Linked DNA regions of Drosophila melanogaster. The protein of the gene in region 2 interacts with the protein of the main gene of each other region in a pairwise test. Each region holds a gene or a part of one and is shown on either strand. Other genes may lie near its edges. The genes, in order: Rab2 and Gmap.

What was found.
Region 1: the proteins of Gmap (region 2) and Rab2 interact in a two-hybrid assay, tested with the Drosophila melanogaster proteins (one study listed by BioGRID).

What each region holds. Positions count from the first base shown.
Region 1 is NT_033778.4:6,695,037-6,701,809, reverse strand, and holds Rab2 (Rab2), read right to left. Parts: upstream 5,072-6,773; 5' UTR 4,927-5,071; coding exon 4,881-4,926; intron 4,395-4,880; coding exon 4,235-4,394; intron 3,762-4,234; coding exon 3,425-3,761; intron 3,365-3,424; coding exon 3,266-3,364; 3' UTR 2,341-3,265; downstream 1-2,340. Other genes in the region: chk (chaski), read left to right, coding at 439-620, 688-928, 993-1,137; Mob4 (MOB kinase activator 4), read left to right, coding at 5,411-5,470, 5,545-5,918, 5,967-6,216; CG3270 (uncharacterized protein), read right to left, coding at 6,739-6,773. UniProt on the Drosophila melanogaster protein: May be involved in bidirectional endoplasmic reticulum (ER) to Golgi trafficking. Together with Rab7 involved in promoting fusion of autophagosomes and endosomes with lysosomes, probably through recruitment of the HOPS tethering complex.
Region 2 is NC_004354.4:15,484,127-15,490,807, reverse strand, and holds the start of Gmap (golgi microtubule-associated protein), read right to left. Parts: upstream 3,887-6,681; 5' UTR 3,567-3,886; coding exon 3,333-3,566; intron 3,268-3,332; coding exon 3,175-3,267; intron 928-3,174; exon of another isoform or gene 613-927; intron 1-612. Other genes in the region: CG6340 (uncharacterized protein), read right to left, coding at 4,367-5,476, 5,540-5,686.

The DNA.
Region 1 (6,773 bases), on a different chromosome or scaffold from region 2:
AGTACTCTTTGGTGATATTAATAAAAAAAAAAAAAAAACAATTTCATTGGCAAAGGCCCCAAGCTGTGCATGAACTCAAGGCGCAATAAATGCTAAAATTAATAGACAAATGTGCCAAGCCGTCGCGTGAATTTGTTTATTTTGCCAGAAGACGTCGCAAACAATTTTGGCAGCTGTTCGAAAACGAAAAGCGTTGCACAACAATATTGTTGGCCAACAGCGGTGAAATTCCAAGCACAACGTTATCGATCAGCTCAGTTAGTAGGCCCCCTTAGCTGTTCAAGATCATGGTTTATCTTACCCCACGACTGCGGAGTCCGAGTGCCCTAATAGATCGATAAGAAAACTAGTTGAAATCAATGCTAACTCCTCAACATTGACCAGATAAGGCTCCTCTGCTCAATCAGCGGCTAATCTACTTTTTGGCACGCTCCACAGGTTCATTATCCCCTATCTGTACCTTCCCGATTACATGAAGCAATACAAGTACGACGTGAGCCAGAGTGCCGAGTTGATTTCGGATGTCGGCATTGCCCAAACGGTGGGCATGATAGGACTTGGCTATCTGGGGGATCTGTCCTGGATGAACATCAATATATGCTACTCGCTGTGCATGCTGGGTGAGTGCTTGGACTATGTCACATTTTCAATTTATCAATTGAATTTATTATTTATTATATTTTTCAGTGTGCGGAGCGTCTGTGTTCTTCATGCCCCTGCTGATTACCAACTACATGGGCCTGATGGTCATGTGCGTTATTTTCGGATTTACGTTCGCCAGCTCCTTCTCGTTTACGCCCAGCATTCTGGTCAGTATTGTGGATCTGGACGATTTCACGTGTGCCTACGGTCTGGTGCTGCTGGTTCAGGGAGTTGGAATGATCGCAGGACCCCCTATTGCAGGCGTCATATACGAGTATACGGGCAGGTGAGTTGGGCGGCATTCTACAGTCTGTGCACAGGTTATCTGACCACCCGTTGTCCTCTTTCAGATGGGATGACACCTTCTATTATGCTGGAATATTTATCGCACTCTCTGGTGTCTGTTCGTATCTGATCGAGTTCTGTGAAAAGAAAGCACCTAAGGAGAGTGATAGTGATGTCTTAGAGACTAAAAAAGCTCAACTTTTACACTAGGTTACTTACATTGCACTGTTGAACGCCGCAAGTAGAAGGCAACTGGAGGTACTACAAATCCGAACTGTAGCATAATAATGGACTAGCATTAAATGTTAACGAGTTTCTTATGTCAAATGGTGTTGCAGCCATAAAATCAGAGCAGAATTGTAACTGAAACTAAGCCTATTCCTAAGCTCTAGCCTGTAAGACTATACTTGACTTGACTAATCGTAGCTAAGTATCAATATACACCTAACATATACTTACCGCACTAGGGCAATTACTAACCGCATCTTTGTCTAGACAAACTGTTCAATTTCAATCAATATCAATGCAGTGCATCACTGCCAGGTGCAAACGGGTCCCTCAATTGTCTTCTTTACAAAATTTAGAAAAATAGTTTTAATTGCCTTACATTTCGTACGAATATTAATTAAAGGGAATACAATAAACAACAATCTATGTAACGTATGCAATAACAAGTGACCATTTTCAATCAATCTAAAACTCACAATAAAATCTTTGGAGCATTTGTTTGTACATCAAACGTCACGGATCCGAATAGTTTCCAATTAAAAAAAACCAACTGAGCAAATTAGGGTATAAAAAATAGTTAATGTTGAAGCGAAAAACTTGTTTTTGCAGTTTGGCAAACTTTTTCTTAGACAAAACACAGATAAGATTCAGAAAATAAGAAACAAACCTATGTAATATCTTAAAAGTTCAAGTATTATTAAAAAAAAATACAAAAATATTTCTAAATAGTATATTTCAGTAGTAAAAAAATGTTTTAACATGTAAGCACATTTAAAAAAATTAAGTAAATGCGACACTATATCCCTATAGCCGACATAGAAAGTGGAAATTGTTAATTCCGAACACTTTAGGAAATATGTACATAAACAAAAAAGGATTCACCATTTAATAATATTTACAAGACATTAATTCAACAATTATCTACCGAAAGCCTCTTACTAAATAAAAAGGGTTAAAACTACACTAATGCGTAATTATTTGTCTGACCTCTTTTCATTTAAAAGTTGAGTTGTTTACAACTTTAAATGCCTCATTAAATTTGCCTTAGTGTTTTACTTCTCATCTAGACACCAAAAAACTAATTAGTCGTTAACTATCACTTGATTAAACGCTAATGAACCCAAGGTAAGTACCGATTTAATTTATATAATTATATTAATAGTAAGTATGTATATTTATTATTCCGCATTGTGTTGGGCAAATACAAATATTATAAATAATTTGATTTACGTTTACAGTTGTATCTTTCGTTTTGTCTTAGCAATCGCCGTTAATTAAATATATAAACTTCGTAAAATACTAAATTGATCATTGAATCGCAGCATTTCGTGTTACCACTGGTTAATGCATGTTGATTGTGTAAATTATATAACCCCATTTCGGCCCTCACGTTTTGTATATTTTGTTAAAGTACTTTTTTTCTAGTGTATGTATAAAGACTAAGCGGATTGCACAACAAAATAGACAAAGCAAATGCGTTGAGAAGGAAACGTAAACATATTAATATATTTAATTATGTATGTGTGTATAGAGAAGCGGAGCAGATACCCATTGCAAAAGGGGGCGTGGCGCAGCGTTGCGAAGCTGGACCTCACTGAAATCGAATCACAATGAAAATTCACACAGTTTGATTTTTGTTCATATATTACACATCATTTTGTCAAAATCCCAATGTATAACTATCGATTTTACACGAAGTAACTAGCAAACTAACTTCAATATACACAAAATACATGCATAAAACATTTAAAAATGTTTCAATAAACTTTATAAAATTTAGAAATCACGCACGACATTCACGTACACAAATGTGGTTTGTTTTGGTTTATTTCTGGTTACTTCTTCCTTTTGGTTTTTTTTGGTAAAATAAAACGTAGCTGAACAAGGAGATGTGTTTCTTGTAACTGTCTGATCTTAATGGTTTTAACATTTAGCTTAGTGTCCAATTGCTAGATTAGTGGTAGCTATGTTTACGTGGTTAGTTACGGTTGAGATAGAAAACAAGAAATCTGTTCCTTCAACTACCTTCTATTAGTTAGTCACTAAAGTAGCTTTTACAGAAGCGGCTGCGCCTATCCCAGAATTGCAATCGGGCATCTGCGGTTTACTCCTAGCAGCAGCCACTGTTTGCTGCTCCAGCTGCTCCTCCGGCTCCTGGGAGCGACGGGTTTGTGGGGGAGTGCTGTTGGCCGATCTTAATGCCGTTTGCCTAGTAACGAGATAATAATGTAGTGGCAAGAAGTTTCTAAGTTAAATGTATCCTTCTTACCTCATTGTTGATGTCGAAGACACCTTCCTGGATCTTCTCGTAAATCTCTTTGGCCGTATTTATGAACGCCTCCTCTACGTTGGCAGCTGTGCGCGCAGAAGTCTCCATGAAGACCAGTCCGTGCTCGCGGGCGAAGGCCTCGCCCTCCTCTTTCTTCACCTCACGCCGCGAATCCAAATCGCTCTTGTTGCCTATCAGCATAATGACCATGTTCGAGTTCGAGTGCTGACGCGCATCCTCCAGCCAGGTGGTCAGGTGGTTGAAGGTCTCCCGTCGCGTGATGTCGTACACCAGCAAGGCGCCAGCAGCTCCGCGGTAATAAGAGCGTGTGATAGATCTATTCAAGAAATATTTTGCGTCACAATACAGTTATATAAATGACAGTGCTTATATTATTTAATTATTAGTAACCCATTAAATTTCTGTCTGACGACTTCTATTTAATTTTAAGTAAAGTATAAAAAATTTATATCACAAAAAATTAAAAATGATAGAATTAAAACTTTTTTAAATAAACATCTATCAACAATGTGCCGAAATGAAGCAAATAAAATTTTTTGAATACAAATTATTAAGCCTTTTTACTAAAGGCTCTATATATATATATTATTATTATTTTGGATCATTAAGTAAGAATTTTATTCAAATTATTTTATTTAATATAAAAAACGAGCCGAATTATTATCCGCCTTGGACTTGGGGTTTTGGATACGAAATTTGCAAAAATTTATTCAGTTCAATTTTGGAAGTAATCTGAGCTTTCACTTATCCCTTCTTAAGTATTAACACTAAATGAACAGAAGTGGGTACCTGAAAGCCTCCTGCCCAGCCGTGTCCCAGATTTGAAGCTTGATCTGCTTGCCGTCGATGGTGATCATGCGTGCTCCGAACTCCACGCCAATGGTCAGGTCGTGCACCGGCTGGAATCGCTTGTCCGTGAACTGGAGCAGCAGACAGGACTTGCCCACGCCTGCGGAAACGGAAAAGGGTTAGTGGGCGAGCGGGGAAAAGGTGGGACAGGCTGGAAAATGCCAACAGCTGTTGGACATCCCGAAAAGCAGAGTGCTGATAAGCCCGTGGCTCTTTGGGGCGGAATCCCTCAATTACTGGGGGTGGTTGGGTGAGTCAGCAGCAGGGTTTATGTGTGGGCTGCTCCCCGCGCACCACTAACTCTGAGAGCAGCAAACGCCTGTATGCGTTGTTATGGTATTATTGATTTTTCCTTCGGCCCACCGACTCCAGGAATATTTTCCTGCCGACGCAATTTTGATCTCACGGTATCAATTTTTCACTTGAGACCACCTGAAACCCCCATTTTTTGATTTTCGGGTACGACCCCTACGCCTGCGATGCCCTTTGTTTTGTTGTGTTGTTTGCAATTACAGATTGTTTCCCTGACAATGGCCAACTTTTCACTGGCCATTCCGTTTCAAAGGAAGTCGCAGCTTGCACTCACCTGTGTCTCCGATAATGATGTATTTGAACAAGTACGCGTAGGACATGTTTTAAGCTGACGGGGGTTACGGTAAGCTAGTTTTTAGAAAGTACGATCTCGTAATGCCACAGATAATACGCAATTCTTGTACGTTTTCCAATCTGTTCGTATTTATGATGACTGGCTAGCGACAGTGTGGCCACTTTGTGGCCAGGGCTGGCGGAAATACCGAAATACCGCAAGGCTGCAATCGCCCTATCGATAACGATGCGCACTGCCGCTGGCCAATCGATAGGTATATGTATGTATGTAGAATTTGTCAGAAATTTTCTCGCACAAAGCAAAGTGTTTTGGAGGATAAACGCCAATTAATTGTCAAGCGATGTGCCAGCTCCTGTAGAATACACTCAGCATACTACGGTGCAGGGATCCCACATCCGGAGACTCCCGCGGGGCAGGGACCAGGCTAGCATTCAGTTTCTGCCAGTGATTTTCTCATCAAGGCGTAGGCACAGACGTTGTGGATCATCGCGTCTTCGAGCGGGTGAAACATGAAGATGGCTGACGGCTCGACCATATTGCGTAGGAACCGGCCAGGCACAAAATCCAAGGTGAGCGATGACATGGCGTCCGAACAACGATCCCGGCCCGGCCCGTCTGACCCGTTTTCCGTTTCGCCTTTCAGGACTTCTGTCGCTGGCCCGACGAGCCCCTGGAGGAGATGGACAGCACGCTGGCGGTGCAGCAGTACATACAGCAGCTGATTAAGCGCGACCCGAGCAACGTGGAACTCATACTGACCATGCCCGAAGCCCAGGATGAGGGCGTGTGGAAGTACGAGCACCTGCGCCAGTTCTGCATGGAGCTGAACGGCCTGGCAGTGCGGCTGCAGAAGGAGTGCTCGCCGTCGACGTGCACCCAGATGACAGCCACTGACCAGTGGATATTCCTGTGCGCCGCGCACAAGACGCCCAAGGAATGTCCGGCCATTGACTACACACGCCACACGCTGGACGGTGCCGCCTGTCTGCTAAACAGCAACAAGTACTTCCCTAGCAGGTATGCAGGCTTAGCGACATGGTTGAACTAGCCACATAATAAGCAAAGTGTCTCTCCCAGGGTGTCCATCAAGGAGTCGTCGGTAACCAAGCTGGGCTCCGTATGTCGGCGGGTGTATCGCATCTTCTCGCACGCCTACTTTCACCATCGTCGCATTTTCGACGAATTCGAGGCCGAGACGTATCTGTGCCACCGTTTCACGCATTTCGTCACAAAATATAATCTGATGTCGAAGGAGAATCTGATCGTGCCCATCAACGTGGGTGAAAACGCGGCCCCTGGCGAAAGCGAGGCTTAGGAGCCCGCCCAGATTAGTCAGACTCGCATGAAACACTCATTCAACATACATCTATTTATATTTACCAATAGCTTGCAAGTTGGGTTGGCTCACCCTGACAGGGAAACGATTCCACGCGGACCCGACTCTAATGCAGATCTTGTATGTAGTTTAGATGTCAGATACACATAGAGCTACATAACGATAACTAAGTAACAAGGGCAGACCCCCTCAAACCCGCTCGCCCCATCTGATCCTAAGTCAGCAATTATTTCGCAAGTTATATTACGATTATGTTTAACTCCTTATTTTAATAAATTATATGTAGGCACACGACCTTCTCGTGGCTGATTCCACGTCAAATCCCCGTAAACTAAACTAAATTCCCTTGACTACTGGCAGCCAAAACACCAACACAGCTGTACGTGACTAAAACGTGAACTTTACTATACAAAATTACTATATACACAACAGAAATTGCAATAAAAGAAGTACATACATAAACACACCAAGGGCAAGTACGATCCTCCTGTGATAAATTTGTCAAACGATATTCACTTCGTGCATAGGCTGTTGGT
Region 2 (6,681 bases):
ATATAAACATAGACAACTGAATACATAAGCAATCCAATGGGCGCATGGAATACAAAACTTAAGCGTTCAATTTCACAAACATGTCGCGCCATTGAGTGGCGCCATCTGTTGGTCGAATTTCGTTTGAAGATATCGGATGATAAATTACAAAGCTATCAACTTAATGTTAACAGAAGAAAACTAAATAATTATTGATCTGCAATCATTATTTCATAATAAACATAGCTAGACATTATATAACTCACTTTACCATTAGTTAGGTACAGTAACAGGTAAAACTTCTAATAACGAATATATTTATACAATTGAATACAGAAAGCCAAATATTTTGACAAACATGTTTGCCTACCTAAGCTGTCTTTTGAACAATGGACTTTTATTAAAATATCCCCCCTAATTTACCATTTAGCTCAATTTTCGTGGCTTATTATCAACGCCAGATGCGTGTCGAGGGTTTTTGAGTTTTTCGGTTTTAGAGTTTTGGAGTTTTAATTCCTCACCGAAAGTCATCAAATCATTGCGCTCATAAATTTGACAATTAGACTAATTTTCCTGTTGCATATGGGAATGAACACGAAAAACTACACACTATCTACGTAATTTTCAACTCACCCAAAATAAATAGAGCAAAAGTACACACCAGAACACACGAAAAAAAAAATTAAAATGCAGTCGTCGCGAGACTTCCGGCAATAAAAAATGAATGCAAAGAACAAACAAACAAAAAAAAATGTTAAGAAAAATTGACCTTCTTTTTGGAGGAAAATTTCACACGATTTTCAAATGCAAATCGCGTTTGTTTTGCGTTTTTTCTTTTCTGTAATTTTTCAGGCCAAAACTGTGCCCACCGAATGAGAAAGAAACTGAGTAGAAATTAACACTTTATGCGGGCCTACGTGAATCGATCACACGGAACCGAATGAATGCCAGCCAGCAGGTGAACCGGGCTTTTATAGGCCCCCGGATCCAGGCAATCCAGCCAACCAACCCCCTCGATCCTGGCCAGCTTGGCCCGGATAAGATAACCCGAGCATGGTGCCATGCAGATGTCCCAAATGCCCGCCTAATGGGGATGATAATGGTTGGCAGGAGCAGATTGCCATATTCACGAAGGAGGAGTAGGAGTTGGTAGTGGCAGTGGAGGTGGGCCATGAGGGATGTGAATGAAAATGGGAATGGGAATGGGAATGGGGATGGAGATGGGGACGAGGGCACACTTATCGCCGGTCGCCTGGCGCAATTATGCAAAACAATATGGTGACCCAACTATCGATCCAAAAGATATGGCTATCTTTAGATAGTACATGCGAGATAGCCCAGAAGGAAAAATCTGGGAAAACATATATCCACATATATAGAAATCAAATGATGAAATGATGAAAGTTTGAGCCGATTAAGTCATATCTTACTCAAGAAGATCAAGATTTGAATTAGCTGACTAGAGCAACCATTCATCTATCGACATTAAATTAAAAGAATAGATCAAAATCGCTTACATGAAAGAATTATATATATGTATCAGATATCCGTATCGATTTTCCAACTGCTTACTGTTCAGATTTCGCCAGCTCCGATAAGGAATGAGTATTTATGGTTTATCTCTGAATATTCGTACTAAATGATGCAATTTTCCCTCATAATTTATGCTTCGCATGTTTGATAGGAACTCATTTTTACACAATCGATTAGCTAATCAGAAACAAATATAAAACATGAGTAATGATGGCCGAAACTAGAAAGATCAATTTGCCAATTTAAGCTGCAACCAAAACCGGATTTAGAGCAAATAAAAATCTGGCAAATCATAATGGCACGTTAAATTAACATAAATATATATCATATTGTATTTGATTATAAATTGATTAAAATATTTTGATGTTTTTTAAACAATCAATTTTAAAAGCATTTTTAATGAACAAAAAACTACAAAACTTTATATTATATTAAAAGAACCGTAAATTTCAAAAAGCAGGCAGTTTGAAAGTATACTCGTAATCCATATTGTAAAGTCTTTGGGATTTCTAATTTTTTACCTACTGGCAATGCGATCGATTTGAACTTTAGATCATAATACAATGGTTCATTATTTTAAGAATTAAATAAAGTATCTACGATTCTAATAAAATTGCCAAAGAGTAATTCAATCATTTCGAAAAAAATATAACATCTAACGCTATGGTTATATATGCATGTCATTTAGTATTTTAAAACTAGATCTACAATGTGAAAAGCCATATTTTTTATATTTAAGGTGACTATGGAAAATCTGGTACAGTTGTGCTTCAGAAAGATCTCCATCGCCCCAGTGACCAAACCAAATGGCTCCAAATGCAACCCCGTCACCCTGCATTTTCAACGGGAATATCAGACACTTGGGGTTGCGCTGCAGTAACTTGCCTAATCAGAAATAATTCGGTAAATTGAACAAGCAGTTGGCGAACGGAGGGCTATGGAGCGATAGGGTTAGCAGCACGCCTAGATAAGGCTAACAGGCATATGGGGTGATCGAAAAGGAGACCAGGGATTTATGACAGCCAGGCAAATAGCAGACACCAAACACCACCGAATGTGAAATCAAATAGAAGTTGCACGGGGAAAAAGGTGAATGGATGTCAAATGAAAAATCAGTTTAAATTCAAATTCAAATTTATCCAGGAGAAAGTTAATATAAAACCGTTTTTAGCATTAGATTGCTAATCCGAAAGCTCAAGACGCTCTAATGAAATATGGCTTACCCTGCCATACTATTAGTACATTCTTTGCAATCGAGAACTTGGCTTATTTTAAACCCCCCTTTAATTGTTGGCAAAACAGAAATCGGTGAATTCTAGCGCTTTGTAATCGTGCCACGGAAAACAACAATATGCCACTGCAACCATTTTTCTCTCCGTGTGAAGCATACAATGTGGCATCAGGTAAACGCGAGAAGTGCAGATAAAACTAGGGTAGTGCCGACTCCTAGCTTATCGCAGTTTAAATATTAATTCAGGGATATGTGGCCAAAAGCGAAACAGAGAGCGCGAGAGCTGGGCTTATCGCTTATTTGAAAGATAAAGCCGGTCAAACACCACTCCACGCCGGAGTGCAATGTTTCCTGGAAGACGGAGTGGGCACCGGATGTGGCATGGCCACATGGGGGCCAGCTGCAGGTCCCTCGGATCAAACGTCACTTACCAACTGCGGTTCCCGCGTAGCTGATGTGCTGGCTGCCAGCTGGGATTCCTGTTTCTGCTTGCTTTTGGCCAGTTCTCGGCGCAGGGCGGCTATCTGAAAGGGGCAATCGGATGGCCATTGGTGAAGAAGCCGCAAAAGTGACTGTGAGTTGGCTTTACCTCACGATCCTTCTCCTCGCACCGCTTGTCCAGCTGCTCCTTCTGCTCCTGGGTTTCGGCCAGCAGTTCCAGGGCTGTCTTGGCCTGCTGCTCGGCGTCTTGGACGCTAGCACCTCCTGCTTGATGTCCCTCATACTCCAAGTCGCCGGGTCCTGCCGTTTCGGCCAGAACTTCCTGCGCCAGATTGGTTAGTTGGCCCTTCAGCTGGCTGAGACTGCTGTTCAGCCACGACATCTTCGCTGCTCTCTTCTGGGCAGCGTGGGCGGATAGGGGGCGTGGCTCTTCTCGACGAGATCACTCCGCTTTTGGCTAGCTGATTGCTAATTTCGGATGAAGTATGCTTAGTTTTTTGGAAACGATAATTTTTTTTGCGTGGCAGTGGCACAAACTCAAGCGGTTCTGTTTGCTTCGTTCCACAATTTAAATCCAATTTGGCTGTTTGTTTTAATAAAGGATGTGTAAGCTTTATATGCTTTTGTTTGTGTTCTAGTAGTATTAATTCTCTTATTTATTATTATTTTTATTATTAGTTTGTGATATGGTATCGATATCCGACGTCCTATCGTCAGCTGATTTTGTTATTGTTATTGTTTTTGGTCAGCTATCGATTGGCGATAGGCAGACCGACCGCCAAGGTGCATGGCAAAAAACTGACATCTACTAAACAGAGTGCCAAAATTTAAAATTGTTTATTGTAAAAAAAAATACCTTTATTTATTATTGAATATTCAAGCATTCTTCGATTAGAGCCGCTGAACTTTGTAGTTAAAGTTGGATACTCTTAGCATACTTAGTAATAGTGTAGACTAAAAGTCTACCTAACGACGCATTTATCCCAAGCAAATCCAAAGAGAGAGCCACGTCACTTCATAAATTCTGTTGCAACGTTTATTTGAAATCAAAAAAACAAAAAATTTTCTCAACACAAACAAAAAGTTGTTGAGGAGAAACATATTGACTGACTAATGAGTTGAGTGAGTGGCATGGTATTTACAGCCTGGCAGGGAGCCGATCCTCCTCCGTTCCGATCCCTTCTAGAAAGTACGTGGCTGGGAGCCGAAACCAAGCCCCACGCCACGCATCGTGTGTGTGGCGGCTCGCGCCATCTCGTACTGCTGCTCCATGTTGGAGAACATGCGCTGGCGCTGCTGCACGTCCGTGGGCACTTTCGTTCCGCCAGCGGCTCCCGATGGCGCAGCACCTCTTACTGCGCGGTTTCCCTCGCCTGCTGCACTTCCATTGGTGGACTCCGCCTGGCCGCCCTTGCCATCGTCATTGCCGGACGTACCAGCGTTCTTGATACCCATGAGCCGCATAAACTTGGAGGCCACCTTGCCGTCGGAGTCCTGGGAGAAGTGCGCGTTGCCCCACTTGTTCGCCGAGTTCTCGCTCTTCTTGGAGCCCCACAGTAGCTTGCGCTTCTGCTGCTGCTCCGCATAGCGATTGGCATTGATGATGCTCGGATTGTAGTAACTGGGCAGCTGGATGGGTTCTGCGACTGGTGCTGCTGCCGCTGGTGTGCTCAGCTCCAAGGACATCAGCGAGGGTATCTTGGGCGCATAGTTGGGCGTGGGCAGGAGACCGCCGCCACCGCCGCCGGATGAACCGGCTGCCATGGCTGCGGCTGTTGCATTGGCAGCTACCAGAGCGGCCGCTGCAACCCTCGCCGCTGCTGTTGCATTAGTTGCCGTTGATCCTGCTCCGCCGCCTGATTTAGCGAGCAGCATATGAGATCCGGCCACAGCTCCACCGCGAAGTGTTGTGGCTTGTTCTTCCTTCGGAGATCTGGAGCGGCTGCTGGAGTCGCGTTCGCGATATTTGCGTGACTGTTGCGACTGATGGCGGCGACGAGAGGGCGGCGTGCCCGTTGGTGTGCGGGAACCGGATCGAGAGTCCCGGCGACGACGACTGCGTTCATCATGGGATCGACGGACTGATGCTGCACTGACCGCTGCAGCGGCGGCTGACGATGAGTTGTTGTGATGATGATGATGGCGTTCCTTGCCACTGTGGTGGCGACTGCTCTTCTCCGAACGCCTACGGTCCCGATCCTTGTCGCGATCTCGCTCCCTCTCCCGGTCACGATCCCGCTCCCGCTCTCTGTGGCTGTCGCCGTCTTTGGTACGATGGTGGCGATGGTCGCCCTGTAAATAGCACAGACATTAGTTTGGCTGAGTTATGCTGAGTTGATTAGGACTCTGTCTCACCTTGCTGTGATTCTTGTCGCGTCCTTTGTCGCGACTGCGTTCTGAATCGCTGCGCTTCTTGTCCTTGTCCCTGTCACGTTCGCGGTCGCGGTCCCGTTCCCTGTCCTTGTCCCGCTCCTGGCGGTGGCGACTGCTGGGCTTCGGCTCCTGGAACGGGATGAAGCAACACATTGAGGAGAATTACATTAGAGCGTATGGATCTACGAATCTGCGCCGGCGACTAAGGATCTAGGTCTAGTTGCTAGATGCTTAGGATGCTGGAGGGGAAATAGAAAGAGGATTCGGGCTGTGGGCCACCAGCTGGGGTCCTTTCCGGGGTGTCCTAGATTGCTTAGAGAGTTGTTAGGTTCTATTTGATCGCTTTTTGTATACTCACTTTCGTGCGCCTTGATCTCTCTTTCGCATTATCTCTCTCTCTCTCTCTCTCTCTCGCTTTCGCGCCACCAGTGAGTGAGTGAGTGGGTGGATGGGTGGGTGGTTGTGTGTGTGTGTGTGTGTGCGGGCGGGCATGTGTGTGGTGAGTGTGATCGTTCTATTTGCTTTTACCTTTTTCAGTGGCTCACACACACCCACCAACACAGCCACAGAGTCGCACACAGGACTACACACACAGTGGTGGTCATAACAAATTTGATCGATTGTCGCACTATCGAAGAAGCTATTGGTAATCGAGCGATTACTACGATCGGGCTATCGTCAATTATCGTCGGTCAGGTTTGTTTTCGTTTTTTGTTTTTGACTTGTTTGTTTGGAAAATGGTTTTTCGTTTTGGTTCGATTCGGTTTCGTTTACGTAACAACAATAACAATGATAATAAAATGGTAGAGTTTAGTCATTTAAATATTGATTGGCATATAAAGTTTGTAGACTTAACTAAGCTGGCCGAACAACAACAACAACAATGTGTGTGTAAATCGCAAGCGGACCGAACAAACAGAATTTTCTGTCTTTGGATTTAATTTTGAGTTTTTGGCCCATATAAATCTGGCAGTAGCGAAATTTGGATGTAACGGGTTGGAGCGCATGCAGTCGATCGTGGAGATCAATATACATAAATATATGAATATTGAATTTTTCAGTTGGGAACAGCAGATGACTAAATAATAGCACAAGAAAATGCCTGAAGCCCCTAAAGATGCAGA